4 linked regions of the Rhinolophus ferrumequinum genome follow. The protein of the gene in region 2 purifies or fractionates together with the protein of the main gene of each other region. This does not show direct contact. Links are inferred from orthologs where the notes say so. Each region holds a gene or a part of one and is shown on either strand. Other genes may lie near its edges.

Evidence for each region. The genes of interacting proteins can lie anywhere in the genome.
Region 1: the proteins of POLR3D (region 2) and POLR1C purify together in Homo sapiens (affinity purification with mass spectrometry; 6 studies listed by BioGRID and IntAct, counting the BioPlex papers as one, with this or other methods). This does not show direct contact. The link is inferred for Rhinolophus ferrumequinum from reciprocal best matches to the Homo sapiens genes POLR3D and POLR1C.
Region 3: the proteins of POLR3D (region 2) and GPN3 purify together in Homo sapiens (affinity purification with mass spectrometry; 3 studies listed by BioGRID and IntAct, counting the BioPlex papers as one, with this or other methods). This does not show direct contact. The link is inferred for Rhinolophus ferrumequinum from reciprocal best matches to the Homo sapiens genes POLR3D and GPN3.
Region 4: the proteins of POLR3D (region 2) and POLR2H purify together in Homo sapiens (affinity purification with mass spectrometry; 4 studies listed by BioGRID and IntAct, with this or other methods). This does not show direct contact. The link is inferred for Rhinolophus ferrumequinum from reciprocal best matches to the Homo sapiens genes POLR3D and POLR2H.

The regions. Positions count from the first base shown.
Region 1 is NC_046286.1:12,846,896-12,854,430, reverse strand, and holds the start of POLR1C (DNA-directed RNA polymerases I and III subunit RPAC1), read right to left. Parts: upstream 3,008-7,535; 5' UTR 2,930-3,007; coding exon 2,861-2,929; intron 2,739-2,860; coding exon 2,667-2,738; intron 1,472-2,666; coding exon 1,364-1,471; intron 1,120-1,363; coding exon 987-1,119; intron 707-986; coding exon 587-706; intron 492-586; coding exon 339-491; intron 182-338; coding exon 32-181; intron 1-31. Other genes in the region: protein YIPF3, read left to right, coding at 3,235-3,315, 3,935-4,132, 4,329-4,435, 5,714-5,759, 5,897-5,989, 6,154-6,285, 6,482-6,595, 6,773-6,896 and 1 more. UniProt on the Homo sapiens protein: DNA-dependent RNA polymerase catalyzes the transcription of DNA into RNA using the four ribonucleoside triphosphates as substrates.
Region 2 is NC_046301.1:44,199,640-44,206,690, forward strand, and holds the start of POLR3D (DNA-directed RNA polymerase III subunit RPC4), read right to left. Parts: upstream 3,009-7,051; 5' UTR 2,879-3,008; exon of another isoform or gene 2,869-2,878; intron 2,647-2,868; 5' UTR 2,642-2,646; coding exon 2,477-2,641; intron 1,210-2,476; coding exon 1,166-1,209; intron 564-1,165; coding exon 412-563; intron 260-411; coding exon 135-259; intron 1-134. UniProt on the Homo sapiens protein: DNA-dependent RNA polymerase catalyzes the transcription of DNA into RNA using the four ribonucleoside triphosphates as substrates.
Region 3 is NC_046308.1:6,149,083-6,156,375, reverse strand, and holds the start of GPN3 (GPN-loop GTPase 3), read left to right. Parts: upstream 1-4,286; coding exon 4,287-4,324; intron 4,325-6,386; coding exon 6,387-6,393; intron 6,394-6,561; coding exon 6,562-6,679; intron 6,680-7,293. Other genes in the region: protein FAM216A, read right to left, coding at 1,920-1,960, 3,429-3,520. UniProt on the Homo sapiens protein: Small GTPase required for proper localization of RNA polymerase II (RNAPII). May act at an RNAP assembly step prior to nuclear import.
Region 4 is NC_046285.1:60,795,488-60,803,415, reverse strand, and holds the start of POLR2H (DNA-directed RNA polymerases I, II, and III subunit RPABC3), read left to right. Parts: upstream 1-4,921; 5' UTR 4,922-5,124; coding exon of another isoform or gene 5,125-5,146; intron 5,147-5,949; exon of another isoform or gene 5,950-6,531; 5' UTR 6,532-6,634; coding exon 6,635-6,707; exon of another isoform or gene 6,708-6,716; intron 6,717-7,639; coding exon 7,640-7,723; intron 7,724-7,806; coding exon 7,807-7,900; intron 7,901-7,928. UniProt on the Homo sapiens protein: DNA-dependent RNA polymerase catalyzes the transcription of DNA into RNA using the four ribonucleoside triphosphates as substrates.

The sequences.
Region 1 (7,535 bases), on a different chromosome or scaffold from region 2:
CTTTAGGTCCTGACCTGACCAAATACCGTACCGTGGACTTCATGCACTTCAATAACACCCGGTGAGAAGCACCGGCGCAGCTCCTCAGCGGCCTCCCCTTCCACGGGCTCGAGCAAGGTGATGTCCGGCAGGAGCCTGTAACTGGCTGTTGCCACAGGTGAAAATTTGGCATGATCTTTGCCTAGAGGGAAAACAGCGCCTGTGGGAAAACCCTTCTTCACGTTCCCAAAGGCCCACTGGCTTTCTGCCCATCACATCTTAGCTGAGTCCCTCAGTCACACCTCACGCCACTGGATGGGAACTACCTTCCTCGCCAGGGCAGCCCCCAGGGTTCTCACCAATGCCCTTGACACAGTGCATGAGTAGGTCGATCTCCTGGCCAGGCCGCAGCTGCGCAATGAGGATGTCGTCATGCACTGGTCGGATAGTGCCCTCCGGGAAGAGGTCAGCCTGGTTCCCCAGGGGGACCCACGTCATGTGTCTGGTGTACACTGGAGGGAGAAGCACATCAAGAAGACCCCAGTCCCTAAAACCGGCACCCACCACCAGATGGGCCCTCTTCCTTACCCTACCAATCAACACGCACCTTTGTGGTTCACATAGAGTTCATTGGGGTCAGAGGAATCTTTAGCAGCATGGGGGTTCCGAGTGCACCTGACTTGCAGCCGAAACTGCAGCGTGTCTATCTCGGTGCCTTCTTCATCTCCTGCACAAAGGGAGGAGGTGGCAGCTCTTAAAGGACTAGTGAATATTTGCGCGCCATGCTGAATGCATTCAATTTCTCCTGTAATCCTGGACAAATTTAGTAAGGCAAGGGCAGGGGTTCTCATGGATAAAAAGAATGATGTACCAAAAGATTGGTCACTTGCCTAAGGTCTTGTAGTAGTCAATCCAGGATTTGAATACAGGCAGTCTGATTCTAGAATCTACTCTGCGGAGGAGAGCTGCTCCCTTTTCCCCCAAATTTCATTTTCTCAAACCCTCACCTTGGTTCCGATATTCAAAAAGACGGGGATCGGCATGGATGGGAATGAGCCCCAAGCGATGGGCGAGGATCTCATCCTGCACAATGGATGTGTTGTTGTACACCAGGACTTTTTCCACAGCCATGGTTGGCACCTGCCCAACAAAACAGAACCACTCATCTACAAAGACCTTAAAGACTCCGCATCTATTCCCCGCCGGCTGACAGAGATAGGGAGAGACCTCTTCCTAGAAGAAGCCTTGATTAGAAGTTTACAAATGAGCAAGAGGAATGCTCAGCAAAACGGCAGGAAAAATAAACCTTGACACAATTCTACAAGCGAGGTCAATGGCATGGATTCCCCGTGCAACTCTACCCCGTCGCCAGACCCACCAATACCTCAGCCAACAGGATGCGTCGGAAAGCATTGGCAATGGCTGCATCGATCCCCACCATGTCAAACTCCAATGAGTTTTCATCCAGGTGTACCACATCCACGCGGAAATTCTAAAGGGACAAGAAAAACACTAAATGATGCTTGCTCTCTGTATAGTCAATACCTGCGGGCCCCCCCCCCACCCTCCGATATTCCCCTCAAGGTATTAACATTCTGTCTCATCCAAAAACCTCCCTTTGCCCAGATGGCCCTCATTAGATGTTCCAAGTCCTCCTTTATGAGTTTCTTTTTAAAAGTCTCCCTGTTTTCATCTTCCATTCATTTACAATCCTCTGCAGTACGGCTTCCAGCCAGACCATCCGCAAAGGCTACTGTGCTAAAGAACACGCTTCCACACTGCTTAGTCCAATAGACACTACTCGATCCTTATTACATTCCTCTGTTGTATCTGGCATTGTTGATAGGATCCCTCCTTTTTCAAACTCTGTTGCCTTGATTTCTGAGCACCAATCTTCTGGTTCTCTCCCTTCTCTGATCAATCCTTCCAAATTCATTGTCTTCCACCTACTCCATAAATATTACGATTTCCCAAGTTTTTGCTTTCCCAAACCTATTTCCCAAGTTTTCTCTCCAGAGTGACCTCAACCACACTCATGGTTTTAGCAACTATCTCTATTGACAGCTCCCCAAATTATATCTCACTTCTGACCTCAATTCAAACATATATTCTACTAGCCTGCTAGACTTCTCCACCTGAAGGAAACTGAAAGCATGTATCATCATCATTCCCCAGCCCCAGTTCTCATCAATAAATGACACCACCATCCATCAAAGCAGTTCCCCAAGCTGCGTCATTTGACAGTCTCCCCTCACGGCTGATACAAAGCAATCACTAAACCTACCTTTTATCTCCCCTTTGCTCTGTCACCTAGTGTCTAAGACACACTTTACTCAATCTTGCCTACCACTCATGCTGACCCACTTTACTTCTGCCCTCCTCCCCATTCTAGATTAAGTGCCTCTGCGGAATGGGACAGCCCCCGACCCACCTCCGGTCATCCTTAGTGCTATCAACCGCCTTTACCACATTATACTGGAATCATTTGCTTACGCGCGCTCTTCCCCAACAAGACTGAGTTTGTTCGCAGACCAGAGCAGAAACCGTGTACACGGAGCGCCTAACACAGTGCTCAATAAACGTTTTAGGAACGGAGCGAAACCCAAGGACAGCTTCTGAGGCACAGGCTGCTCAGATCACACGGTCCGATCCTCATACCCTCTCCGGACACCTCCGGCTCCACCCACCTTCTCGAAGCGGTCCTGGTCCCAAGCATCATCATAGCCGGAATAGTTACCGGGAAAGTCGGTGGTATGAACCTAGAGCAGAGAAGAGTCTGTCCGCGAAGGGGCAGCGAGGCCAAGCCCGTCCCCACTCCGATCCCAACTCATCCCTGTTCCACTCTCATTTCTCCTCCCGAGCTCAAGACCGCAAGGCTTACATTGCGAACCCCGAACTCCCCGAGAACCACGCGGCCCCGCATTTCCTCCACTGCCTGGGGCGCCGCCATCTTCAACCCCTCCACGTGACTAGGGTAGCAACTGGCGCTTGCGTTCTAATCGCCCTCCTCCGTCTCCGTGGCAACGCCCCGCCGCCTTCAAGGTTAAATATCGCGAGATTCTGCCCTGTCTCCGTCCACGTCCCCAGCTTCCGGAAGTTAGTTTTGGCCAAACATCCGGGTTTCTCCTTTTTGCATTCCGGCTGATCCCGCCTCCCTTTTGCCCCTGGACCTCTCCTTTCTTCAGGCCTACGTCTCTCCCACTCCTCCACGAGCGGGGCTAGGGCAGGCTTCCGCGACGGGAGCCCTCGAGGGACATGGCAACTACGGCGGCGCCGGCCGGCGGCTCCCGAAACGGGGCTGGCCCAGAATGGGGAGGGTTCGAAGAAAACATCCAGGTAATGGCCCCAAGGCTTCAGCTGCCAGCTGCCCCAGGGTCGGCAGTCGTCCAGAAGTGTCGTGGGGACTCTCCCTCGGGGCCTGGAAGTCTGCTCCATTTGCAGCACTGGTTCTCTCCTTTGGCTCTTCGAGCACACACGAAAGTCAGTGGGACCAGTGATGACCAGAAAAGGCCAGACTTGTACTCCAGTCAGAGGGCCTCGCTCTCTGGGCCGACCCGCTCTTGCTTTCGGGACAAATTAGGAGGTCGGTCGGGGTCAGGCATGGCAGCGGGTGGGGGAGTAATGCACTGGCTAAAACCATACTGTGTGCACAACCTTGCATGGGGGTTGGGAGAGACAAAGGAACTGGGCACATTTGTAGCCCTTTGAGACTTTGGTAGGGAAGGTAGGAGGAAGACATGTATGAAAGGTAGGGAGTACTTTCCCAGGCTAGAAAAGAGAGCCAAACAAGAAAGATTTTGAGAGCAAATGAGGAGAAGAGTGGCACCATCTATGGTGATTCCGGGCCATATCCCCCTCAGTGGAAGGACAAAGCCCCAAGTCCTGGGAGGAACAGAGAAACACTTAATGGATGGAGCAGAAAGGTCCTGCACACGAGGAGCTATTGTCTTCACAGGGTGGGGGTTCAGCTGTGATTGACATGGAGAACATGGATGATACGTCAGGCTCCAGCTTCGAGGATATGGGTGAGCTGCATCAGCGTCTGCGCGAGGAAGAAGTCGATGCTGATGCAGCCGCTGCTGAAGAAGAGGATGGGGAGTTCCTGGGCATGAAGGGCTTTAAGGGACAGCTGAGCCGGCAGGTGGCTGATCAGGTAAGCAAGACTGGATGCCTGGCAGGTGGAAAAAAACACCTAGGAGGCCCCAGGTTCTGGAGTTGGTGTTGATGACGGTCAGTCACCCCAGGTTGTCCAGTTAGAACCATGTAGAAATCCAACAGAAAATCAGCAACAGGGCTGAGAGCCAAGAGTCTCACACTAGCCACCCACCCCGCCCGTCCTCTTTCTTCAGATGTGGCAGGCAGGAAAGAGACAAGCCTCCAGGGCCTTCAGCTTGTATGCCAACATCGACATCCTGAGACCCTACTTTGATGTGGAGCCTGCCCAGGTGCGAAGCAGGTGAGGACCCTTCTCCTGACGGAAGCTGCCCTCCTCACACCTAGTCCTTCAGAGGACAGAGACCAAGTCCTTAGACACCCGTCTTCATGACACCAGCAGCCTTCATCGTTGTACCCGTACCCCAGCCACGCCATTCCTCCTCTCAATCCCAGAACGGGACATGCTGATAACACACTGCCTTCTTCCTCTTGTCCATCTAGTAAGCTACTCATCTTTCGTCAAAACCTAGCTCAAATGTCGCTTCCTTTGTTCCCCATTCCTCAGCCTCATCCCTGGTTTGTCCTTTCCTGGTGCTCCCGTATTGCTCTGCGCTTTCCCCTAATAAATAACACTTCAGCACGGCTGTACTTTCTTATTCTTGAGTCTGTCTCCCCAGAGACCACTTCAAAAGCAGGCTCTGTTTTGTTTATCTTTTCATTCCAAGCACCAGAAGAACCTCTGAATCAGAATATTGGTACATAGTTGTTGAATGATTTCAAAAACTGGAATTAATTTTGGCTTGCTTCTTTGTTCATACTTGCATAAGTCTTGCTTACCAAATACCCAGTGTACTCAGCAAGTACTTACTAAGCTTTTGCTCTGTGCCAGGTACTCTACTAGCTGTGTCTGATTTAGTGGTGAAGCCAGATGAGAGCTTTGCTCTCAAGTGTAATTACAGTGTAGCACTCATTTGCTATGAAGGGACACATAGAAGGGACTCTTGACCCTAGAGTAGGCTTGAGGTGGAACAGGGCAGGTTTCACAGAGGAGGGTAAAATCCAGCCAAATTCAAAGGTATTTTTAGGAACTAGCCACTTAAGAGAACGGGGAAGTGGCTTGTACTCGTACTTGTATTCCTTCTGCCTGGAATTTTCACACCACTTCAAATGTATTTTAAGAAAATGCTCGACAGTGCCTGGGGCAATTGTAAGCAGACAGAGGCAGGAGGCACACTGGTTCCCTCAAGTAACCTGCACTATTACAGTGTGGAATTCTGGGCATTCTCTGCTGAAGTTTGCCTTTTAGAGGGGAGCACGTCACATATGTAAATTGTCAAGCCCTTTCCCAAGGCCCAGCGGGGCTCCCTGAGTTCATATTGCTGCTGCAGCTGTCAGTACAGCATCAAAGGGTTGCCCTTCCTGGAAGTATTTTTAGGGGCAAGGAAGTGATCTCCTCATTCTCCCTGTACCATCCAGCATGTTCTCTGGAGTTAGAGAAGTGAGTGAGATTCAGGCCCTTGAGAACCTCATAGCCTCGTGCTGCCTCTGCGCTCATCTCTCCTCTCCTCTCCTCTCCCAGGCTCCTGGAGTCCATGATCCCCATCAAGATGGTCAACTTCCCCCAGGTGAATAGGGGGTGGCATGACTAGAAGAGCCGGGGGGAGGCACCGGTCAGAGGGTGGGGCCACCAGACAAAGCCTGGGGAGAAATCAACAGAAGAGCCATTGTACCGTCCAGCCTGAATGAGTTGGTATATTGACAGAAAATCGCAGGTGAGCTCTACGGACCTCTCATGCTGGTCTTCACACTGGTTGCCATCCTCCTCCACGGGATGAAGACATCTGACACCATTATCGTAAGCAGGACAGAGGACTTTGAAGGGCTGGGGGGTGGCTGAACTGAGTTGAAAGCGGCCCAAAGAGACGGTGGTGGAGCGAGTTAGAAGCAGCCCTGAGGACGGCCCTGGGTGAGGTTGAGGCCATTGGCCTCCCAGGACTAAGCACAGCCTTCCCCCCACAGCGGGAGGGCACCCTGATGGGCACAGCCATTGGCACCTGTTTCGGCTACTGGCTGGGTGTCTCGTCCTTCATTTACTTCCTCGCCTACCTGTGCAACGCCCAGATCACCATGCTGCAGACGCTGGCGCTGCTGGTAAGGAGTCCAGCACGGTGGTGGGCAAGGGTGGTCTTACAAGAGGAGCCAGGCCTTGGTTTGCATCTGTGCTGCGGCCCCAGGGCTGGGAATGGAGTAAGCGGGCCGCTCGACCGTTTGTTTCTCAGGGTCTCCGTGAGGGTCCAGAGGCCAGCCCGGCCTGAATGGTTTTCCTCTCCACCATCCTCCTCCCTAGGGCTATGGCCTTTTCGGGCACTGCATCGTCCTGTTCGTCACCTATAACATCCACCTCCACGCCCTCTTCTACCTCTTCTGGCTGCTGGTGGGGGGGCTATCCACCCTGCGCATGGTAAGATGGGCAGGGGCTGTCCTCCTGGGGAGGTGGGGGCAGCAGCCCCTAGTGCAGGCAAAACCCCACAAAGGGCTCTGAGTGGGACGCCAGAGCCCAAAGATGGTTCTGCTCTAGGGAGGAGTGGCTTCCCCACACTGGAGCCAGGCCCCCTGAGCTGTATTCCTGTGGTCCTAGGTGGCAGTGTTGGTGTCACGGACTGTGGGCCCCACGCAGCGGCTGCTCCTCTGTGGCACCCTGGCTGCCCTGCACATGCTCTTCCTGCTCTATCTGCATTTTGCCTACCACAAGGTGGTGGAGGGTAAGTGCCAGGAGGCTGGGGTGCGGGGAGGGGGCCACCGCTGCCGAGGGCGGTGCCCCGCCAGCTCACGCTCACCTTCCATCTCCCTCGCAGGGATCCTGGACACCCTGGAGGGTCCCAACATCCCACCCATGCAGAGGGTTCCCAGAGAGATCCCTGCCGTGCTCCCTGCTGCGAGGCTATCAGCTGTCGTGCTCAATGCCACAACCAAGGCCGTCGCGGTGACCCTGCACTCACACTGACCCCACCTGAAATCCTGGGCCAGCCCCGTCTTCCCCAGCTGCGGAGTGGAGGACAATTAAAGAACAGTGCTGATGACATGTGTCTTTTTGATGGGGTCGGCAGCTGCCACAGAGCCGGAGCTGCTTAAGTACCTCCTTTGATGCTGGTCGGGGCTTCCGAAGGGCACAAGGCCAGGAACTCGTGGCCAGGACTGCAGCGCTCTGCAGTCAGTGCAGAAAGTGGGTCAGCGCCCGGGAGGCCCTCTCACCACCCATCCCTTCCTTCCTTTTTATTTTTCCCACATTGTCTTGCTAAATATAGACTTGGTAATTAAAATATGGATTGAAGTCTGGAACTGCAGCTACCACTCCACTGGTCCTCCCTGCCCTCCTACTTCCTGTCCACTTTCCGGTTCTT
Region 2 (7,051 bases):
ATTGCAATCTATCTTAGCCCTTTTCTAACCGAAGATTCCTGCTGCTCATCAGGCTTCTTCCCTCAACCCTGGCTCCCAGAGGCCCTTTCCATAGCTACAAAGAAGGCTCCTCTGACTAGCCTGCTGGTACCCACATCATCCTTCTCCAGCATGCGCAGGATCTGTTTTGTTTCTTCATCCGTTTCCCTCTTCTCTTTTTTGATGTTGATGATATGAGAGGGCCCCATGTCCGACACATCCACTGTCTTATCCCAATTGCCTGCGGGAAAACATCCAGCTCACCAGGGGGAAGGAAGAGGTCATTAGCAACGAAAACTAAACTGGGAGCTAGGAAATTCCACTGCCCTTGCCCTTCTATCAGGCAGTGTGAACTAACATCCACTGATCCCTTTCTCCCCAGCACATCTGTACCCTTTTTCTTCATCATTTCAGCTGGGCCCTGCTCAAAGATGGAGTGAGACTGGATCACTTCTGGGCGACCCCGGCCCCGTCCATGCCCCTCTCGCTGTCGATCTCTATCCCTTTCACGCTTCTCCTTCTTGATGGTTACTTCTTCCTTAGGCCTGGAAAAGAGAATGGATTAAAGGACAGCACTCACTCACCCTGCCTCAGAGAACTGGTCTTATTTTCCCACACCATTCCGCTCTACCTCAGCCAACAACTACATCATGAGAAACAGAACCCAATACAACATCTAGTACCTTTTACACTTCCTTGATGGGGTAGTCCTTTCAGTTTGCTTTACTTTATCTTCTTGTTTGTGAGTATATATTAGAACTATAACTCAAAAGTTAAATTATAGTGACAGCTCTAAAATGTGGACTTTTTGTATTGATTGAAAGCAGGTAGGCTGTAATGCAAAATAACTTCAGGGGAAAACTTGATACATCTTTGCCTAAACTAGTGACTCTCAACTCTGGCTATAAAAGATAATCACTGTTTCATTGCAAACAAGTTAAACCACAATTTCTGGGACGGACCCCCAGGCATCAGTATTGTTCCAAGCTTGCACGTTAGAATCATCTGAGAGCCAAGGTTGAAAATCACTAGTGAAAAGAACTAAATACATACACAAATTTAAATTTCTGGGCAACATACTTAGTTATTTCCCAAAAGGCCCAAATTCAGAGCAAGTAAATAATACTCAGAAGGCCTAGTTACTTACTCTTCCTTGATCTTCCGACTGATGATATTTGGGGTGAAGGTTTTCTGAAAGTAAAATACAGGAGTCACTGATTTGGTAAATTCTGATCCCAACATACAGACGAAAAACTCCCAAAGGGCTTCTTATGTGGACCTAGACCACCATGGCTCTTCTGCGCATTCCACACTGTTGTCAAAGATTTACAGAAAAAGACTCATGCTTGTAAAGGAAAAATGTCATGTCATGGTGGCAGTAGTGTTATACACAGAAGAAAGGGGCACCAAAAACCATTTAAACTAGCAGCCTCAGCTTCTGCTCTCTGAAAGGAGAGCCCTCAGAAATTCTAAGAGCAAAGGAATTTACCGTGTTTCCCTGAAAATAAGACCTCGCCGGACAATCAGCTCTAATGCGTCTTTTGGAGCAAAAATTAATATAAGACCTGGTTATATATCGTATTATACCTGGTCTTATGTCATAGTAAAATAATAAAATAGTGAATATCATAGGGAAAGAGCTCTAGCAGCAAGGCTCAAGTAGGAAAGACAGATGCTGCCGGCACTCACAAACAGATGATAAATTAGACTGCCGCCAGAATTTCCCTAAGCAAACTTCAGTCTTTAAAAACCAGCTGCTTTAAGCTTCTGTCATCGCCCTCACCTCTCCACGGTCAGGGCAATTCTTTACATGTATTGTTATTGTTAAACCATGTTTAGGCCAGGAGCTGAAACTTTATCTTAAAAGCCATCTTGTCTTGATCCTATCTTGCTTTATCTCCTAGGGGCCTGTGATCAGCCTGGGCGGTCTGGACGGCGACCTGGGGCCAGGGTATGGAGCTGGAGGGCTTGGTCGTGCCCTGAAACCCTTTGTAACAAAAACCCCCTGAGGCATTGAAGGGGGAACAGCCTCCTTTACCCCTCCTATAAAACTCCATACTCCTCTTTGCTGGGGAGGTTATGGTCTTTTCCCTCTGCTCTGGCCTGACCTCCCGCAGCTCAAACAGCCAAATTCTAATAGACCAATCTTGGTCTCCCGCGAGTCGCCGGCAGTGCCTAACAGTCACAAACCTAATGGGAGAGGAACAGAGCCTCTAATGCCAAGAGTAGGATTCACGATACTCTAGACCAGAAGTTTGCACACTGGGATCCATGGCGAATTCAGAACTCTCTAAAACTGCAGGCCAAGTTTATGCCTGCGTGACTTTCACGGGTTTTAAGAAACAAAACACCTGGGGACAAGAGATCCGGAAGGCCCAACATCACGCATGGATCACGGTCGGCCCTACACGAACATCAGTTGAACCCCAGGGGCCTGGAATTCAAGGTAGTCGGATACCTTCTTGACTCCCCCGAGGGTGAGGTCCCTGGAGCGGATGGACGGAAGGCGGCCCGGGGTGAGGGGAGGAGCCGGCCGCCGCCCGATAAGCCCCCGGGCCCCAGAGAGGAGGGGTCGGGGCCCTCCCTGAGCGCTGGGCTCGCCCGCGGCGTTTCCTTCCGACATGTCGCCTGCGAGGGAAGAGAAAAAGGACAACAAAGTCAATCGAGGGGACTGACACGCGGACCCTGGGCGGAGCCCCACCCACCTGGCCGCCCGCCCCTCAGTCAGTGCGTCCCTCCCGCAGTGTCACAGCTCCTCCCCTCCCACGTGGCTACTCCCCGGACCACCCGGGCTAAAGCCTCTGGCGCGCCCTCTCCCCAGGTCCCGCCTAACTTGAGGCAGCGACGCACCCCAGCACACCCGGACTGCAGCTCAACACCCCGCGCGTTCCAACTTCAACTCCGGCGCGGCCCACCGCCGGCCCTGGGTCTCAGCACCAGGCGGAAGTCTGCGTGGCGGGACCCGCGCGCCGCCATCTTGCCGCGAGGCGGAAGTGAGGTCGGTGGGCGGGGCTGGCCACAGTATTTATCCGGCGGCGCCCCGCTCGCCTCCGCCTTCTCTTCCCGGTTCTTCCCGGAGTCGGGAAAAGCTGGGTTGAGAGGGCGAAAAAGGAAGAGGGGACTGGTCCAGGTTACGCCACAGTGCAGCGCTCGGGGGTCTTGGCTCGAGGCGGTGGGTGGGAGCGTCCAGCTCAGGGTCCGTGGGCCTTGGCAGCCGCCGACACGATATGAGGATTCTCCACAGAGAGATTCTCCACCCTGGGGCAGTGGGGTCGCAGCTCCGGGTGGGGCGAGGGGCGCGGGGCGGAGAACAAGACCCCGACTCAGAGTCGGGAGCCCTGGCCGGGCCAAGCCGCGGCTGCGGGCTCGATGGTGACCTTAGAGTGGTCACTGCACCTCCGGGCAGCGGCCTCGCCCTTGCTCGGGGGTCCCGAGTTGGGGCTTTTGAGTGCAGCTCTGGAGCAGCAGCCGCGGACCAACCGGGTACCTACCTAATGGTACCCGCCCCGGGCTCAGGACTGCGGGCCCTTGGGTGCGCTCTTGATCCAAACCTGGAACCTGAAAAACGAAGTTTGCTCTACAGGGCGGGACGAATTTAAAGAACTTTTATTGTGATTCCGACATTTGTAATTTAACATTAAAAAAATGTCCTTTACTGTTATTCCCCCCACCCTCATCCCCAAATCATGTGAAAGCCATGTAACAACGTTACGAAAAGTTTGAAGAAAGGCAAATATTTCTGCTAGAAGTCCACATGGAATACTAATAAGACTTTTGTAATATCGTCCAGTCCCCTTCACAGAGCTGTCATATTGTACTTCAATTTTGAATAACATTTCTTTTCAAATAACATTTCTTTGTTGCTGTATCAAAAGACTGCTTAATTCTTGGGTGGCCATGTCATGACTTGTCTAAATATTTTTGTTTGGACACTTAGATGGTTTCGTTGCCCTGTTGTAAATAACGATGTAGTGGACATCTGGTGCATTTAACTTTTTTCTTATTTTGGATTATATCCCTAGGACAAATTTCCAGACTTGCGATAACTGGCCAAAAGAAGACACTTTTTTTTTAAAGGAAATTTTTTATTTGGAGACAGTTGTAGACACACGTGCAGTTGTAAGAAATAATGCAGAGAACCCAAGTACCTTTTACTCAGTGTCCCTCAATAGTAACATATTGCAAAACTATAATACAATATCAAAACCAGAATATTGCCATTAATATTCAAAATACATTTCCATCACCACAAGGATCCCTCTAATTGCCCTTTTATAGCCATACTTCCCACCCTCCCACCCAACCTTGGCAACCACTAGTCTCCATATTTATACTTTTGTCATTTCAACAGTGAAAGTCGTTCAGAAATGGAATCAGATAGTATGTGACTTTTGGGATTGCTTTTTTCTCTGAGCATCATTCCCTGGAGATTATCCAAGTTGGTGTTTATCACTAGTTCACTCCTTTTTATTGCTGAGTATCCATGCTTTATTTAACCATTCACCCTTTGAAGAACATCTGGGCTATTATGAATAAAGCTGCTGTGAACATACATGTACAGGTTTTTGTGTAAACGTAAGTTTTCATTTCTCTGGGATAAATGTCAGTGCAATTGTTGGGTCGTTATATGTGTAGTTTTATAAGAAACTGCCAAACCATTCCACAGTGGCTGCACCATTTTGAACATGCACATTTTGTGTTTCTTCATCCTTATTGGTAAATTGCTTTCGAAAAGGTTGTGCTAATATCCATCACTACTAAGAATTTGTACATATATAGTATGTAAAAATGTTTTCTTCCCCACATCCTTTTGGCTCTTAAAATTTTAAACTTGTTTTGCCAATTTTGTAATATATTAATATTTAATGTCGGTTTCTAGCCAGACTTTTTTCAACTTTTCTCCATATTGGTTTTATTCGTAATGGTATTCTTTTTTCTTTTCTTTTTTTGGGGGGAAACAATGTGTTTTTCCAGGACCCATCAGTCCATGTCCTTCAATCTAGTCCTTCAACAAGGTTGCCAGTTCAATTGTGGAGGGCGCAGCTTAGCTCCAAGTCCAGTCTCTGCTTTCAATCTTAGTTGCAGGGGGTGCAGCCCACCATCCTATGCTGGAATTGAACTGGCAACCTTGTTGTTAAGAGTTCCTGCTCTAACCAACTGAGCCATCCGGCTGCCCCCATATTTGTTTTATGATAACCAAACCTAACCAAGTAAAAACTTATCCTGTCCCCTACAGACACTACACACACTACATACAGAACTACATACACACAGTGATTGTTAACTTCTGACTGGAGCATTAGATGATAGAAATTGCTTTGATTTCATTCTCTGGGCTTTGAAGTTCACCAGCGTTTTAGTAGCTCCTCATTTTTTATTTTTATTTATACATTTATTTTTACAAAGATACTTACTCGTAAGAAATTTGGAAAATTTTAAAAAGCAACTAGGAGAAAATTAAAATCACCTCTTATTCTCCCATCAATTGTTCTATATATTTGAAGTTGTTTTTCTATGCATGTAGATTTTTTTTATTAGTTTCAGGTGAACAAAATAATGTAATAGACATTTACACCCCTTACAAAGTGATAACCCCATCCCCCCCATGATATGGTATGTAGCTGTTACAATTCCACTGACTCTATTCCCTATGCTGTACTCCACATCCCATGAATATATATATATTATGTATATGTATATATGTATACATACATATATATACATATACATATATATAAAATAGTTGACATTCCACATTATTCAGCTTCAGTTTCAGGTGTTCAGCGCAGTGGTCAGACATCTACACAGTCCATGACGTGGTCTCCCTAATAAAACAAGTGCCCATCTGATCCCCTACAAAACCTTTACAACATTATTGATTATGTTCCTGAAACTGTATTTCATATCCCTGTGGCTATATTGTGATTACTAATTTGTACTTTCTAATCCCTTTCCCTTCTCCCCCATCCCCACCCCCTCCTACCTAGCATGTAGATTTTTAAAAATTGAGATATCTTGCTTTTTTTGAGATAATTGAGAATATCTGTTTTTTTCTCAACAATAAACATTTTTGCTCAACCATAAACATTTTTCTGAGTTAAGTATGCTTCTAAATGATGATTTTTAATGGCTAAATAGTACTCCACATTGTTGTCTTGCACTGTAACTTAACCCGTTTCCTTCCTGCAGTGCTTATTGGATTTCCACAGCATTTCTCACCCCAAAAGGACAAGAGAGGAGAAGACTTAAATCAAGTCTTCCACCTTTAACATTTGGGAAGTTACTTCCTGATAATGATTATTATAATTTCCATTTAAGAAGATTCTTCAAACTTCCCTCTCATCCAGCGAATATCAGCACCTTTCTGCTTTTTTTCTTTACTTGCTTCAATACCTCCCTCTTCGTTTTCTTCCAAAGAGTGTTCATTCTTTTATCTAGATTCAAAAGAAATTTGTAAATCATTACTGGCTGAACCCCGTGTAATCACATCTGTGATTCTACCGATCTCAATTTGTTATTAGTGACATTTTATTGCATTTTGTTTTTATATACTCGTATTTCATAGTAAACACAATAACCTCATTCTTTTCTGATGACTTAATTGAAACTAATAATCAAACTCTTAAGAACAAATATAGTGTTCCGGGTCTCAGTGCAGGTTTCAGAAGGTATAAACAGATTCTGTCAAAAGGCTGTTCCTGTGAGTTCTTGGGTGTTGCAAACCCTAAATGAATAAGAGACTGTTTTGAATATGTATCAGTAGAAGAAGAGGAATGTATGGCATGAGAATGCTATCCAAGTTCAAGCTATTACATGTTCTTTATGACTAATTTGTCCTAATTTGTTTGCATCATTTGCAGGCCATTTCTTTGTTGGTTCGTCCTCAGCTCCTTGAGCTCCAAACGTCGGATAGCTCTAGGATTCAGTCCTCGGAACTCTTCCTTTTTTCTCTGTACTGAACTCCCTGACAATGGTCCGGTTTCTCGGCTTCAAACCTTGTGCTTATCTCAGTCTGGACCTCTCTGAACTCCAG
Region 3 (7,293 bases), on a different chromosome or scaffold from region 2:
AAAAGAATAGTCTCTTGGTAAAAACAAAAGTTGAGATCTATTCCCAGAAGAATAGAAACTAATTTTCAATTTTATTTCATACATATTGAGACCAATAATTTAATTTAGCGTATAAACTTTAGTAGCACTTTGGGGAAAAACCATATCTGGCAAAATTTAATCAGGAAATAATTCTTTGTAACACTTCCCTCTTCCCCACACACCCCCCCTCCCTCCAGACAACCACTTATGTGCTATCACTGTAAATTAGCTTGCATTCTCTTGAGTTTGATATAAATGGAAACCAGTATATTTCGGTTTTGTCTGGCTTTTTTACTCAGCATAATTTGAAATTCATCCATTCCTTTTTATTGTTGGGTTATATCCCATTGTATGTATGTATATACCACAATTTGCTTATACACCTATCTATTCATGGATATTTGGGTTGTTTGCAGTTTGAGGCTATTACAAATAAAGCTGGCAGAACAGATTTTAAGTTAAAAGTTTGTATTTGGTAAAGTGAATCAAATAAGCACAGTTTTGTTTCAGTATTATTGATAACAAAGGCCACTATAAGTTTACATATTAAACTTTAAATTCAGTTATTTCTTTAGAATTTGGGCAAATCAGATAGTTCAGATAAGAGTTATATTTACATACCGAAGGACTAACTAGTTTGCAGCAAATAAAAAATCACCTGGAAATTATGTTATTATGACCCTTAAATCATAATTTGGAATCTGTAATAATAAAATGAGTATCAATTTAACATTTAAAAAGTTTATTTTTAAAAAAATTCTTTTTTAAGTCATAAATGTGGGCTAATTATCTAAGAATCTCTCTTTTGTGTCCCTGCTAATCTACATTTCTGAGGTGCGTATTATAGCCTGAACTAAAATTTAATTTTTGAAAAGCTCGATAGCATTTCTTTACAGAAAATTAAACATTTAAAAATAATAGCTAAACTCAACAACAAACAACCCACTTGAAATATGGGCAAAGGACTTGAAGAGACTTTGGATGTCTCCAAAGAAGATACACAAATGGCCAATAAGGGCATGAAAAGATGCTCACTGTCACTAATCATTAGGGAAACGCAAACCATCATTAGGGATCACAGTGAGATCCCACCTCCTACCCATAGGACGATCATCAAGAAAACAACCCCAATGTTGGCTAGAATGTGGAGAAATTGGAACCCTGTGCATTGCTAGTGGTAATGTCCCATGGTGCAGCTGCTATGGCAGTTCCTCAAAAAATTAAAAGTACAATTGCCATATGATTCAACAATTCCATTTAAAAACCACAATATTGATGGATACGTATTTATATATATATATATATATATATACACACACACACACACACATATACATGTATACACACACACACACACACACACACTCAGACATGTGCAGGTGTGCTTTTCATAGGTAATTGTAAGGACTAAATTTTCCAAGGAAATGTAAAGTGAATCCAGGTTTATATATCATTGAATTGAAATTGCTTCCCCGGAAAAAAAAATGTGTGAGAGGCCTTTTGGGACCTGCCTTACTCTCTTAACTCCAGCAGCTCTATCCTTTACTCGGAGGGAGAGGAAAATAGGAGCACTAAGAAGTTGTTCTTTGAAGTTGTTCAATTGAGAATTTTTTCCTTCAATCTGTGAATAAATCCCACGCTGTGCTCTGTGCTTACAACCAACATCAGTTATAAACAGTTTTCAGATTCACTGTTATTTTGAAGTACTCTTTAAAATGCTTGATGTAAGATATCTTAATGGGAGACAAAGAAGCCCATTTGTTCTTTGAAAAATCTTACAGACTAAGTTCACCAAGGACGCTAATAAAGTCTATTTTAAAAACTCCATTGTATGAATAGTTACAGCAGAATTGGCTTCTCTGAACCATATTACTTATAGGTATATCTGCTCTACTCACCAGTACCTCTGGAATTCTGGTAATAAGATTGTCCAGCTGATCTGTTGGGGGAAAAAAAAGGATGTAAATAATATGTAATAATTGACAGTTTTATAAGCATTAAAGTATTTTAAATGAAAAAGGACAATATTGCATATGCTTTTTACTTTTCATGTTTCCATCAGACAGAATGTCTTGCAAATTTTCTCCTGTAATTCTGGTTATATTCTACTGGTTCCAGACATTTTCAAAGTGAGTTGTCTGGGATTTTTACCTTACCAGACAAGAGTCACTTTAAGCCAGATTTGTTCTTACTTTTATAGCCTCCTAATCTAATGCCTACATTGAGTTCAATAAAGTAGTTTGGGCTTCTGTGCTATCCATAATATTTTCTTGTTCTTTTTATTTTTAATAAAGTAATTTGGCTATGGAAAAGACTGTTTTGTTCTTTATTGTATATAATTAAGGTGAACTGGAACTAAGTTGGTCTGGAATGTTTCTAATTTTGGACAAGTTCTTTTCTCAAATTAAGACTAAACACCCTTCCTTCCCTGTCTTTCAATTTATTCAATGAACAAGAGTTCACTGATCTCCTGATATACTAGGATCCAGCACTTCACTAAGCACTGTGATGAACAGAAAAGAAACACAAAACCTCATCCCATCTTTAAAAAGTCTTCAATCCACCAGATGAATGAAAGAAAGAAGAGAGAGAGAGAGAGAGAGAGAGAGAGAGAGAGAGAGAGAGAGAGAGAGAAAAAAAGAAAAGAAAAAAAGAAAAGAAAAGAAAAGAAAAGAAAAGAAAAGAAAAGAAAAGAAAAGAAAAGAAAAGAAAAGAAAAAAAGATGGTCATGGGTGTAGCAGGAGCCATAAAACTGTGAGCTGAATTGCAGAGGAACACCGGCACCTCTCCTTTTTTAGGGAATAACGGATGAAAAGGTACTGCCTCCAGCAGTGATTTCAACAACTAATTCTCTTTAGCATTCAGGAAATAATAGTAAAAATCTGCTCAAAACAAACGGATTTCTGTGTGAAAATGTCTAGATCAAGGTGCCTTTAATATTTATAGTCTGTTTTACTGGCGATTATGAATCCCCATTTGACATAAAGTCGCCAATGTCACACACAGGGAACTAATTTATTGACTTGGAAGCCTTCGGTTGAGCCAGGGGACTCTGTTCCCGCAGTCTCCCCTCTCTCCCAGCCCCGCTTATGTAGCGATCCCGTGGCCAGATTTTTTCAGCAGGTTTTGCAGCGCCCCCTCGGGACAGAAAGATGCACGCAGGCGGCTGTCGCAGTCATCGCGTGCAGTCATTGCACCAAATCCTCCTCCTCAGAAGCCCTTCCCCTAAACAGTGAGTCGGTTTCTAGTCCCATCCCAGCCACAACAGAGGGTTCTCCCGCCTTTCAGTTCAGTGCACTGCGAACCTGTCCATTGGAGCAGCCATCTCTCAACCCCTCTTCTACAGGGAGATCACGACCCGGGGCCGGTCGCCATCTCCCTAACCCCTCAGGGCCCCGCAGCCTCACCCGCCGCCGCCGCCCTCGGTCCTGGCCACCGTAGGCGGCTCTGTGGAAGAGCTGCACTCCGTCCAGTCGGACATCGGACCCTGGCCGGGCATTTCGTCCCGGGTGCCTGGACTGCGAGCTGTGTGCGGGAAAAGCTTTCCCCACCTCCCCTCCCCGGTCAGCACGCGTGCGTCAGGCCGGGTGATATTGAGGGTGAAGAGGCGGACGCCGGATTGTAGCACCCTCCGAGGCGCTGCGGACACTGCCCGAAGAGCTTCGGGAGAGCGGGGAGGGCAGATCCACGATCCTGGAGTTAGACTAGGGGAGGGGCGGGAGTTCTTTAGTTGCTGCGCGTTTTGCACGTTGGCATCTTTTTGTGGAATGGATGTGTCACGGAAACGAAATACACATGCCCTCCAAAACAGGAGGTGCCTTCCACCTCTGTATTCCAGACCCTCAGCAAATTACAAATCTTGAGTGTCACCATATAGGTCAAACATCAGTACGCAAACCAAGGACCCAAGCACCCAAGCACCCGGCGCAGGAATGCTGAGTGTTAGCCGTTATCCGTTATCACCAAGGCAACCAGGCTTCGCCAGTCGCCCTTCCGCGGATTTCCGCCAACTTCGTCTTTGCACGCGCAAACAACCTCCCTCCTTCCCGGGGTTTTCTCAGGACTCATTTCACACGGGATTGGCCTGCGGGACGTTCCGTAGTCGGAGGTGTGGCAGAACAGAAGACGTAAACAGAATTTGGATTGTGATTGGTTCGCACGTTGTGTTCCCGGAACTCCGTGAGCATCGCGCATAGCAGTGAGACCCTTGATAGGTACTGTGCGGCTGGCGGCCGGGGAAACCGTGGGATCCGACATGCCTCGGTATGCGCAGCTGGTCATGGGCCCCGCAGGAAGCGGGAAGGTGAGGACTTGGCGGGAGAAGGAGGGACAAATCGCAATTGATGGGAAGCCGGGAGGTTCGGGAACGTGTGTATATTGTGGGCCCTGAGACTCTGGGCAGCTCGCTTCTGCAGTCTGGGCTTCAGGGTCTTTTTTGTTGTTTTGAAAGGGGTATAATGATAGTTGCTGATATTTATTCTATGTTTATACCCCAGATAATGCGCTGAACGCCTCATTTATTTTCCACAACAACCCTGTGAGATAAGTCCTACTATTCCCATTTTACAAATAAGGGAACACAAAAAGGTTAACTTTCTGCCCAAGATCTGATCACACAGCTAGTAAGTGGCGGCGGGAATTTAAATCCGGTTTTAGCTAACTCCAGAATCCGGCCCTGTCTTGCCCCCACGAGGTTAAAGTGGGATCTCGTTAACCACTGTTTCTCGGAGCTTAAAACGTGGGATTCTGGTATTTGAGGCGATTTTAGGACGTACTAGGCCCTGGCGTCATGAACATTGAATTATATATTGAGCTAGTTGCTCCCTTTTCAGTTCTTTCAGTTTGCATTGAGGTGAAACTGTCAGTTTGATGCTAGTGTATTTTCAACACATATTTAAAATCCCCAGGTCTTTTCAGGGAGAGCTTAGACTCAGAGCTTTTGACAGGCAATTATATTTAGTTAGAATGAAAAGAGTTGTGAAGTTGTATTTAATTTTATGGTTACCTTCATGTTATAAATATAACTGGTTTTCTGTTTACAATAATGATATGGTTTTTTCTTGTAAACAAATATTAAGGGAAGGGAAGAATATTAGGGGGCATTCAAATATGGTAGAAATAGTGAAAATATTGGTCAAGTAACAGGAGTATAGGAAACACTCGAGTCTGTGGAGGTGTTGTGTGGCTTTAGTCATTTTTTTAAATTTTTATTGGGGAACAGTGTGTTTTCCAGGACCCATCAGCTCTAAGTCAAGTCGTTCGCAATCTAGTTGTGGAGGGCGCAGCTCCCTGGTCCATGGGGGAATCCAACTGGTGAAGTTGGTGTTAAGAGCACTGCACTCTAACCAACAGAGCCAACTGGCCACTCGTGGCTTTAGTCTTTAAATGAACACATTGTTCCGAGGCTTGCGCTAATCTCGGTACAGGAGATATACATGTGACTGATATGGCCCGGTATGTATGTATAAAGTCACTTATGGGGTGATTCTAGACTGCTTTTCAGACTGATGGTGTTAGAAAGCATTTTTCTACAAAATTTTGAAGCCTACTATCAAATACTCATTGAGCCTGTTCTTTGTGCCAAGCACTGTTCTGGGCTCTGAAAATTGTGTTATTGAACAAAACACACACACGCACAATCTCTGGCCTTGTGGAATTCATATTTAAACATTAAGTCAGTCAGTTAGACGTAATTACCAAGCATTTCTTATGTGCCTTCAAGTATTGTGCTAGTCCCTGGGCCTGTAAAACTGAATACGACACATCCCTGCCTTTACATAGAGGGTGGGAGAGGTAGACAAGTACCATGTTTCCCCGAAAATAAGACCTAACCGGACTGTGAGCTCTACTGCATCTTTTGGAGCAAACATTAATATAAGATCCAGTCTTATTTTACTGTAATATTAGACCAGGTCTTATATAATGTAATGTAATGTAATATAATAATATAATATAACATAACACCAGGTCTTATTCTCTAAACCAAAAGTTGCAAACTCATAGCTGACCTCCATGCTGTTTATTGACCTCAATGCTCCTCATCTTGGAATGCTCTTCCCCTGGCTTGGCAAGTACTGTCCCATCCCTCGGCTCACACATCCCCTCCTCAGAGATGTCGGCTCTGATCACCCTGACTACAGCTTTGCTTGGACTCTACAAGTCTTTGTGGATACACCATGTGTTTCGTGCTGCACTATGTCATTGGAAATCCTCCCTTTAAATTCCTCTTGTTGCACGTTAGAGTAGTAAAGGAGCCTTAGTGATTGTGGAGTTCATCCTAGTTAGAGATGAGAAAATTGAGGGGCAGCATGGAGAAGCAGCTTCCCCAAAGTTACCCAGGAATCACAGCCAAGTTGAATCTACAGTCCAATCCAGTGTCTTGGCTCCCAGCCTGGTGCCCTTTCTGTTTTCAGTCAGCGTCTTGGCCGATGAAGGCATAGTTTTATCCTTAGTAGACCCTGCCCAGGGGCTGTAGAGTGTCCTTCTGGGGTGCAGAGGGTAGCCCTACACTGCTGTTGCTCTGACCCCTGGTCCCTTGGGACGTTACAGAGCACCTACTGTGCCACCATGGTCCAGCACTGTGAAGCCCTGCACCGGTCTGTGCAAGTTGTGAACCTGGATCCTGCAGCGGAACACTTCAACTACTCCGTAATGGCTGGTGAGTCCTGGGCAGTCTGCTCCTTCAGGAAAAATAAGGGGGTGAGGAGGCAGTGAGTGGGGCTGCGCAGCACAGAAGCTGAACAGTTAATTATTACAGTCTGGTTCCCTGGTTTCATGGTGACCAGCATGAGGCGGAATGTCATTGTCATTTGCTGACACCCACTGCTGTTGATGTGTGTGACAGTATCCTTTCTTGGTCTCTGCTGTACGAAAGAAAAGTGAGTAGATGCCTCCCTCCTCACCCTCCCCTTCTGCCCCTTTCATGCTTAGTGCTGCTGTGCTGAATCTGGTTTACTGCTGATCGCAGTATAAATGAGCAGCCTGAGTATTTTGTTTTTTAATTATTTTAATTCATTCAAGTGTCTGTGGAACACCTACTTTATGCCAGATCCCAGGGTTGCAGCAGAGAACAAGACAGATACTATCCCTGCCTTCGTGGACCTTTTGCTGGGGGAGACAAGCAATAAGCAAGATGATAAATGTGTTACAGATTGTAGAAGGATGGCAAACAGGCTCATGGGAGGGAATGACGGGGAGGTTGCTTTAGGTAGTGCAGTCAGCGACGGCATCATGGGGTAGTTGGGCCCAGACCTGAAGATGTAATGTGCTCAC
Region 4 (7,928 bases), on a different chromosome or scaffold from region 2:
ACCAATTTTCCGGTAATTCATATAAGAGCCAAAATGTTCAATCTGCCTGGAAAACACCGTTGGCTGATTTTCTCAGTGGAGTGCAGGTTTTTGGGCCACTATATACCATCTTACTGTCACTGCCCCCCACCTCCACCCCACTGTGACCCTCACAGCAGCCCAAAGTGGCCTAGAGAGGAGCCCAGAGCCAACTCACTTCTTCATGAGGAAGCGGTTGATGGTTTTCTGCTTCCGCATCACCTGGACAATCTTCCGGTTCAGGTAGACAAAGAGTGCTCCCCCGAAGCCACTGGCAATACTGGAGAGGAAAGAAGCATCCGGGTAAATGGGGATCTTCCCTTTTTTCCCTCCTCCTCTCCAACATAGCCCAGCTCCCTCAGCTCCTCACCCTATGACAGCAAAGGCTGGGAGCTCCTGGAGATCAAAGGGAAAGTCAAGCCGGAACCGGGTTTTGAAGAGAGCAGTGATGGTCTCTGGAGGGAAGGCAGAATAGCAGAGGGAGGTAGGTGTAATGTTGAGGCCCCCCCTAAGCCATCTCGGGGCTCCCCTCATCCCCCAGGACACCCCACCTTCATCACGGTTCCAAACCGCCAAGACCCGGAAGATGAAGGCACTGAAGGTAGCAGCAAAGAAGCCCCGCCAGTAGTTGCGCACAGCGAAGAAGGTGGAGGTGACCTCAATACTGAACAGGACCCCTGTGAGGGGCAAGGAGAACACCACTGGGGGCCTGGGCCTGGCCTCAGGACTCAGACCGAGATGGGAGGGCAAAGGAGGTGCGGCCAAGGCAGGGCTGGGGCCTGGCCTGGCTGTGTACCTCCGATAGGTGCTGCAAAACAGCAGCCCACTCCCACGGCACAGGCAGCGGCCAGCATCTCTGTGTTCCGGGATTCGTTCTGGCCAGAGTGGTGGAAAGGGGTGTCAACATGGGCTCAGCAGCCCACGCCCTCCTCTGCCTTTCCCCAGGGTCCCCCTTACCTCATAGATGCCCCCGAAGAGGGAGAGGAACTTGCTGAGCAGGGCAGCACACATGCTTGCTATATGCACAAAAGGGCCCTGGGAGGTGGGGGCAGGCAGTGAGTGGGGAAGGGGCACAGCCCGACCCTGCCCTGGCTTCTTCCTCCACCAGGAGGGCCTCTTTCATTCCCCAACCTGCAGTTACCTCTTTGCCAAGGGGCATCCCGCTGCCCAGAGCACAGGTCAGCCCAATGACCTTTGCTACAAAGGTCTTGAGGGTGAGGTATTCCTTTAGCACCACACCCCGCAAGATGGTCTTCATCTCAGGGATGCCGGACCCTGGAGTGGGTACAGTCCCAGGAGAGTTATTTGATGTGCCCATTTCAGGGGGTTCCACCTCTGCCCTCCCCTCCTCTCCTACTGTACCAACAGCCTGAGGAGCCAGGATCTGTGTGAATCCCGCTGAGAATGTGATGAGGACGACAGGATAGGTGACCCAGGCCAGGTACTGGAGGAAGAGGCTGGTGTTCAAGCCCCGGGACATCCACTGCTGAGCTGTGGGGAGAGGACATGTTGCCAGACCCCTGGTGTGCATACCCAGTGCCCGCCTGGCCACTGGGACATACTGATATGATGCACTGTCCAGGGAATATCATACAGAACCTCGGTACGCGGAGCAGGGAGGCGGCCCTAGAGAGCCTTCACTGGGACAGAGATCATTGTAGGTAAGAGGGTCAGTTGGAGAGCGGAGGCAAGAAGTTGTGGCTTATGGAAGTGGCAGTGATTATGTCTGAAGATGGGCATTCAAGCTGGCCAAGGAGCCAAATACTTGGACAAGTGTGGCACAGAGGAAGCAGAATGGTGCTTCCCAGCCCTCCTGCTGCCAGCCCTTGTCCTCACCCTGCAGACAGGCAGCGATGGCATAATCCATGGCCCAGCTGACCAGTGCCATGAGGAGCCCCAGCAGGACCAGGAAGATCCAGTCTTCACCAACTCTGGACACTAGGAACTTATGACAGCGTACGGAACAGACTGGGAGCAGGAAGGGAAGAATGGTGGGCTGTCACCAAAGTGCTCCTACCCCTGTCCCCCCAGCTAGAATGGCCTCCATCCCCCTCAGCACAGTACAGCCAGATCCCCTGCCCCAACCCAGGTCTCACTGCGGCACCGGGCACAACGGCTCTGTCCATATTCCAGGAGCTCTGGGGGAACCCGCGGGGACAGTGGACCCCTCCAGGGCTCAGGCCCTCCTAGGCGGATCCGAGCAGCTTCCTCTTTGGCAAAGGCCCCGAGGTCCTGGGTATACCGGCCATACATCTGAGCAATGGGAAAGATGGGGGTTAGCAGACATGTGTGGGCTGAGGGGGATGCAGGGAGGGCCCCTGGAGCCTCAGCTCCCCTTCTCCCAGTCCCCACATTATATACCACCTCTTGAACCCACACTCCCCACTTTGGCTTGGGGTGTGGGAACAATGCACATTGCAGACTGTGGGGGCTGTCCTGGCCTGAGTGATGGGACAGCCAAGGTACAGGAACACAGCTCTAGGGGGTGGCAAAATAATCAGTCCTCTTCTCACTGAGGAGGAGTGGGAGGGAAGGCCCCAGAGGAGGAAAGATGGAAAAACCTAACACAGTCTGAAAGTGGGAGGAGGGAATGTCAGAGAATAAGGGATGGTCAAGGGCATATGGGTAACAATAAGGGCCTTAAGGAGCTGGGGGCAGCTGAGTTGGGCCTAGGAGCAGGCGGGGCCCCAATCCTTATCACGTTCCTGCCAGGCCTCTGGCCTGTGACCCACTCAGCTGCACCCCTCCCACCTACCCTAATCCCCTTGTTCCCATTCTCCACCCCCACCCCCCACCACTTTGCCAGCCCAGCTAGGAGTAGAAAGTCTCTCTGGGTAGGTGGACAGTACTTGGTGGCCTCAGTCCACTCTGGAGCTGCCCTGAGTCCAGTGGTGGGTGAGGGGGACAGAAGAAGCTGTGGCCAGGCTGTGACTGCGGATGCTGGGGTGATGGGGTGGGAGCGTCTCTGAGCCAAGGCTAGACCAGCCAAGCTGGGTGTGTGTTGGGGGGTGGGGAGTAGATTCCGGCTGCCACCCGCAGAGCTTCAGGACACAAGGGCTCCTGTTGGGACAGGGGGTGGGGAGGGAGGGAAAGATAGGGACAGAGAGAGAGAGAGAGAGAGAGAGAGAGAGAGAGCGAGCAAGGAAAGGGAAGAGAGGGAATCAGGGAGGAGAAAAGGAGGAAAGAGAGGCCAGGGGAAGGTGCAGGGAAGAAAGAGGAAGAAGGGAGGAGGAAGGGAGAGAAAGAAAGTGGAGTATAAAGAGGCAGATAAACACTGTTGGTTGGAGCTGGGAGGTGAGCCTGTGAGAGAAAGACAAAGGGATTGGGAGGAGAAGGGGGAGAGACCGGAGCAGAGAGTGCCCGGGCGAGAGCTTGACCCTGGGAACTCATTCCAGAGATAGAGACCCAGGCGAAGGAGATGGAGATGTGCTGGTGCAACAGATAGACACCATTTCAGAGCCAGGTGCCTGGCTTCCGTGACCAATGCCCCACTCTCAGCCTGTGCAGACGGACAGACACCTCCCCCCCATGTGAAGGCTTGCCCCTCTACCCTTGCTCCACCCCCACCCCTGCCACCTCTCCCTGTCATCCTGTTCCATCCAGTCACTCCCTCTCTTAACTGGGCAACTCCCAGCCTCAATTACAGCCCAGGCCCCCTCCTCCTGGAGAGGTTCCCTCCCAGACTCCTTCCTGGGCAAATTCCAGGACCAGCTGTTACAAAGGAGACACAGGGCCCACTCCCTTCCCAACAGTTTGGGTCCCCCACTCCAGTGACTACAAGAAGGGGCAAAAGTCTTCTCAAACACTAAGTTACAGTGGTGGCCATGAGTCAGCTCTGAGCCCCAGGACCCCTGCTTCTAAGGAGGTCAAGGCACACCCCTGGGGTGGGTGGGGGCTGGCTACTCAAGAGTGAGCGTGGACAAAGGTCCCAATTCCCACATCCATTCCTGCTTGACCCATCCTCCCTAAAGCTCCTGTCCCCTAGGGTGGCAGGCCACCTTTGTTCCAGGGAATAGACTGAGGGGTTCCTGCCAATGCTGGGTTGCCAGCCTGCAAAGGAAGGGCCTGGGTCTAGATTTGGGTCTGATCATCTTTCTGCATATAGAAACACTCCTGATGCCTAGCACAGTGAAATGCACTTACTGGAAACAGAGGGCATGTAATGGATGGTGGAGATAAGAACGTAAAGAGAGAAAGTTCAACAGTGTGAGCAGTGCTGGGGAGGAGTAGTGGGGTGCTGAGACGGCTCAGGTGGCGAGGGGGAGGAGCAAAGAAAACGTGGGGGGGAGGTAAAGGGAAGGACACCTGGAACAAGTACCTGATGTCCTTGTCCTATGCAGGTCCCCAGCCTCAGCCAGAAACCTGCATGCAGTTTTCCACCCCTTAGCCCTTCAGCCTCAGTTTCCCCAGCTCAGAAGGCTGGGGTGAGGTTTGGATAGGCCCCCGGTCCTCGCGCTTCCAAGGGTAACCCGAAGCAGCAGTTCTGGAGCGTACACTTCAGAGCTCGGCTCGGCTTCACTTACCAGGGTCTGCTCGTACTGCAGCGCCCGCGGCTCCATCCCTTCCTCTGCCGCGGCGGCCGGGGCGGCCGCCATCTCCGCGCACAGCCCTCGGGCCTCCCACTGCGGCTCGGGCTCCGGCCCGGACTCGGCTCCCAGCCCGCAGAGCCCGCACCCGTACCCGTCCGGTCCCCGCAGCCCGGGCGGCCAAGTGCAGAGAGCCTCACGCTCTCGTCCCCTCCTCCGCGGGCGGGCAGAGGGCGGTGTCCTTCGTGGTGCTCCGCCCGCCAGCCCATACACAGGGACCGGCCCAGCCTGGTGGGGGTCTGAGTTGGGGCGGCCTCCCGGGCTCGGGAGAGGCGGTAGGGGGCGCTAGGAATGCTGGAGCCGGCGCCCCCACTTCGCGGAGGCCTGAGGCTAAGACCCGGAGGTTCCGCTGGCACGTGCAGGGGCCCGGCGGTGTCTGCGGCCCTGGCGGGAGGAGCTGGAGACGCTGGGGCTCGGCTTGGGGCGGAGGACGGCAGAGCCGTCTAAATCAGACTCTCTTCGGGCCCAGTTTTCTCTCTAGAGTGGCTCTCTTGCTTCTCCCGAGGGGCCAGCGGCTCTGATGCGCCGCTGCTCCGCCCGGGGTGAGAAGCAAAGCTGCGGGGACTCGGAGGGGAACGCTAGGCCCGTGGAGGGGGGCCCTAGGGGGGTGTGGAATGCTCGGAGCTGAGACCCTCGGTCTCTCTCATCCTCTCCCTCCTTCCCCCCCCCCCCCCGCGGCTGCCCCAGGGAGGTGCACCTGGAGCAACCTGGCCTGCAGAGGGATGCGGGGGGCCAGGGGGCCGGTGATTGGAGGTAGGGAGGGAAAAAGTGAGCCTGAGGAAAGGGAGGTCTAGGTGCCGGAGAGGCGGCTCCTGGGAGGCGGGCGTGAGGGGACAGAGGTCGCTTCTCCCTGGCAGGGCCCAAGGAGAAACCCGAGTAGCTGCTGACGTCTCGCTGCCTGAGGGGAACGGCCTGTTGGGGCTCTGCGTTCTCTATCAGGGTCCAGAGAAGGATAGAGCAGAGGGTGGGGTGAGCACAGGGTGGATGGACTGTGTGTGTGAGATAGTGTCTGAGAACAGACAGTGTGCGGCAGGAGGCAGTACCAGGATGAAGGGGCATGTGGGAGGCAGAGGTGGTGCCCCGGAGGAGGGGGCACTGCCCACGAAGGGGTCAGTGAGAGGAGCCAGCTCTCTAGAGGAAGGGACTATGTAAGGGAAGAGTACCTGTGGGAGAGGACAGTGCCAGGATGAAAAGGCACATAGATCAGTGTCCAGAGGGAGAGGGCGTTGGTGGGTGAACGGGCGGTACCAAGCTGGAGGTACAGTGTTCAGGAGCGTAGCGTGTTGGGGTCAATACAAGGCTGAGAGGGCGGCGTGGGGGAAGAGAGCAGTGGGGGAGGGTGCGGTTCCAGGGGAAGGGACAGTGCAGGCTTTCCTCTTCCCCTTAGTGACATCATGGCAAATTCCCAAACTTGAAAGGACTCAGCTCAGGTGACATCCAGCTGGGCAGAGCCGGCCCGGGCCGGCCTGGGGGGCCTTAGTACCAGCTGGAGGGGTTGGGTACTGCGCCCTGCTGGGCCAGCGCTCTGGGGGCGGGGTTCTGCTCCGCCCTCCCTTGGCGCGGACTGTGCCCTCGGCGGGCACGCGGACCGGCAGGGTAGGGCTAGGGCCGGGCTCCTCTGGGCCAAGGATCAAGGTCCCTGGCTGGCGTAGGCCCCCAGGCATTCCAGTCTTCCCTACTGGGATTCTAAAGAGGGCGCAGTAGAGCTTCAGCAGAGAGTGAGAAAACGCGCCACCTCGGCCAGAGGTGGGACCTACCGTCATCCCGCCCTAGGGCGGAGTTATTTGAACTTGAGACCCGCCCTCAACACTGAAGCAATTGTTCGGGGCGGAAGTTAGGAAGCCCCGAGAGCCAGGCGACGGAAGTGGCCGTCTTACTGCTTGTCGGTGCGCATGCGTTGTTGTATTCTCTGACTGCTGCTTTTCAGGCGCTGCGTTTTCCCCTCTTCTTTCCTCCACGCGAGTGGGTGCACGTACTCTTAGTCGTGGTCGCGCGCTAAGCCCTTGTGCTGCTCTCGTGGCCCTTTCACCATGGCGGGCATCCTATTTGAGGATATTTTTGATGTAAAAGACATTGACCCGGAGGGCAAGAAGTTTGACCGAGGTAGGTAAGGTATGTAGGGCAGTTTGGGGTTAGGGGCTAACCTCGTCCTTGGGGACACGTCCCTGTGCCTTTGGTCCACCTAACTCACGTGGTCTGCCCCTAACGGCAGGTCCTGATGTACGACCTCTCTTAGAAAACGTTTTATAGATGAGAAAAGTGAAACTCCGAACTCTCTCTGGGTTCATACATGTTGTGCCCTCTTCCTGCGTGGCCTTTTCGCGTGGTGCTAGTAAACTCCTGGGCATCTTTCTAATCGCTACCCACTCTGTGCTAGGCGCTGTATGGTGCACCTTATACACATTTTGTCTTACTTATTCGTTTCAAGAGCCTCCATGAGTAGGTGGCGTCTCACCCTTTTTGCTCTAAGAGCTAGCTGCACAGCGAGTTATCCGACTCCGGAACCTATATTCTTGTATTGCCCTTAGAGTCTTTAGCTCTTTGTGAAGTCCTCTCTGATTTACAGTTGACTGCTTGGAAAAATAAAGAGTAGCTCTTTATTCTGTCATTGATCTATAATTGTTTCTGGTGTCTCTTCCTTTGCCTAGAGACTGAGATGTACTTCAAGACAACACCAGTTCTTACACTTCTGATAATCCCCTCTGCACAGCACCTGGCACAGAAAGACAAAACCTTTGGATGAATGAATAACTTTCCCAAAGTCAGGTTGTTTCTTAATCACCAAGGCAGGCTTAGAATCTGGATATTATTTATCGCCAGAGGACCTTTGATTCATTTCTGGGGATTATGCCCACTGGTCATAGTTTTCTCTCCTTATTGCCTGTTTGGTTCTAATTGAGCCTGAACTTCTGTGAGAGCAGATGAGAGGCCAGTGGAAGCACACTGTGTTAGATTGAGTGTTCTGTTGCATATGGTCCCCCAAAGTGGGGTCTGCAGGCAATTACCTCTGCCTCTCTTCCTCTGCTTCCCTCTAGTGTCTCGACTGCATTGTGAGAGTGAATCTTTCAAGATGGACCTTATCTTAGATGTAAACATTCAGATTTACCCTGTTGACTTGGGTAAGTATTGAACACAGACAATAGCAGAAGACTTTTTGTCATTTCAGCTGTTCTTCACCCTCAGATATTACCATTATTTTCAGGTGACAAGTTCCGATTGGTCATAGCCAGTACCTTGTATGAAGATGGTACGCTGGATGATGGTGAATACAACCCCACAGATGATAGACCTTCCAGGTGAGGGAGTGGAGAAGGGAGTATTTGA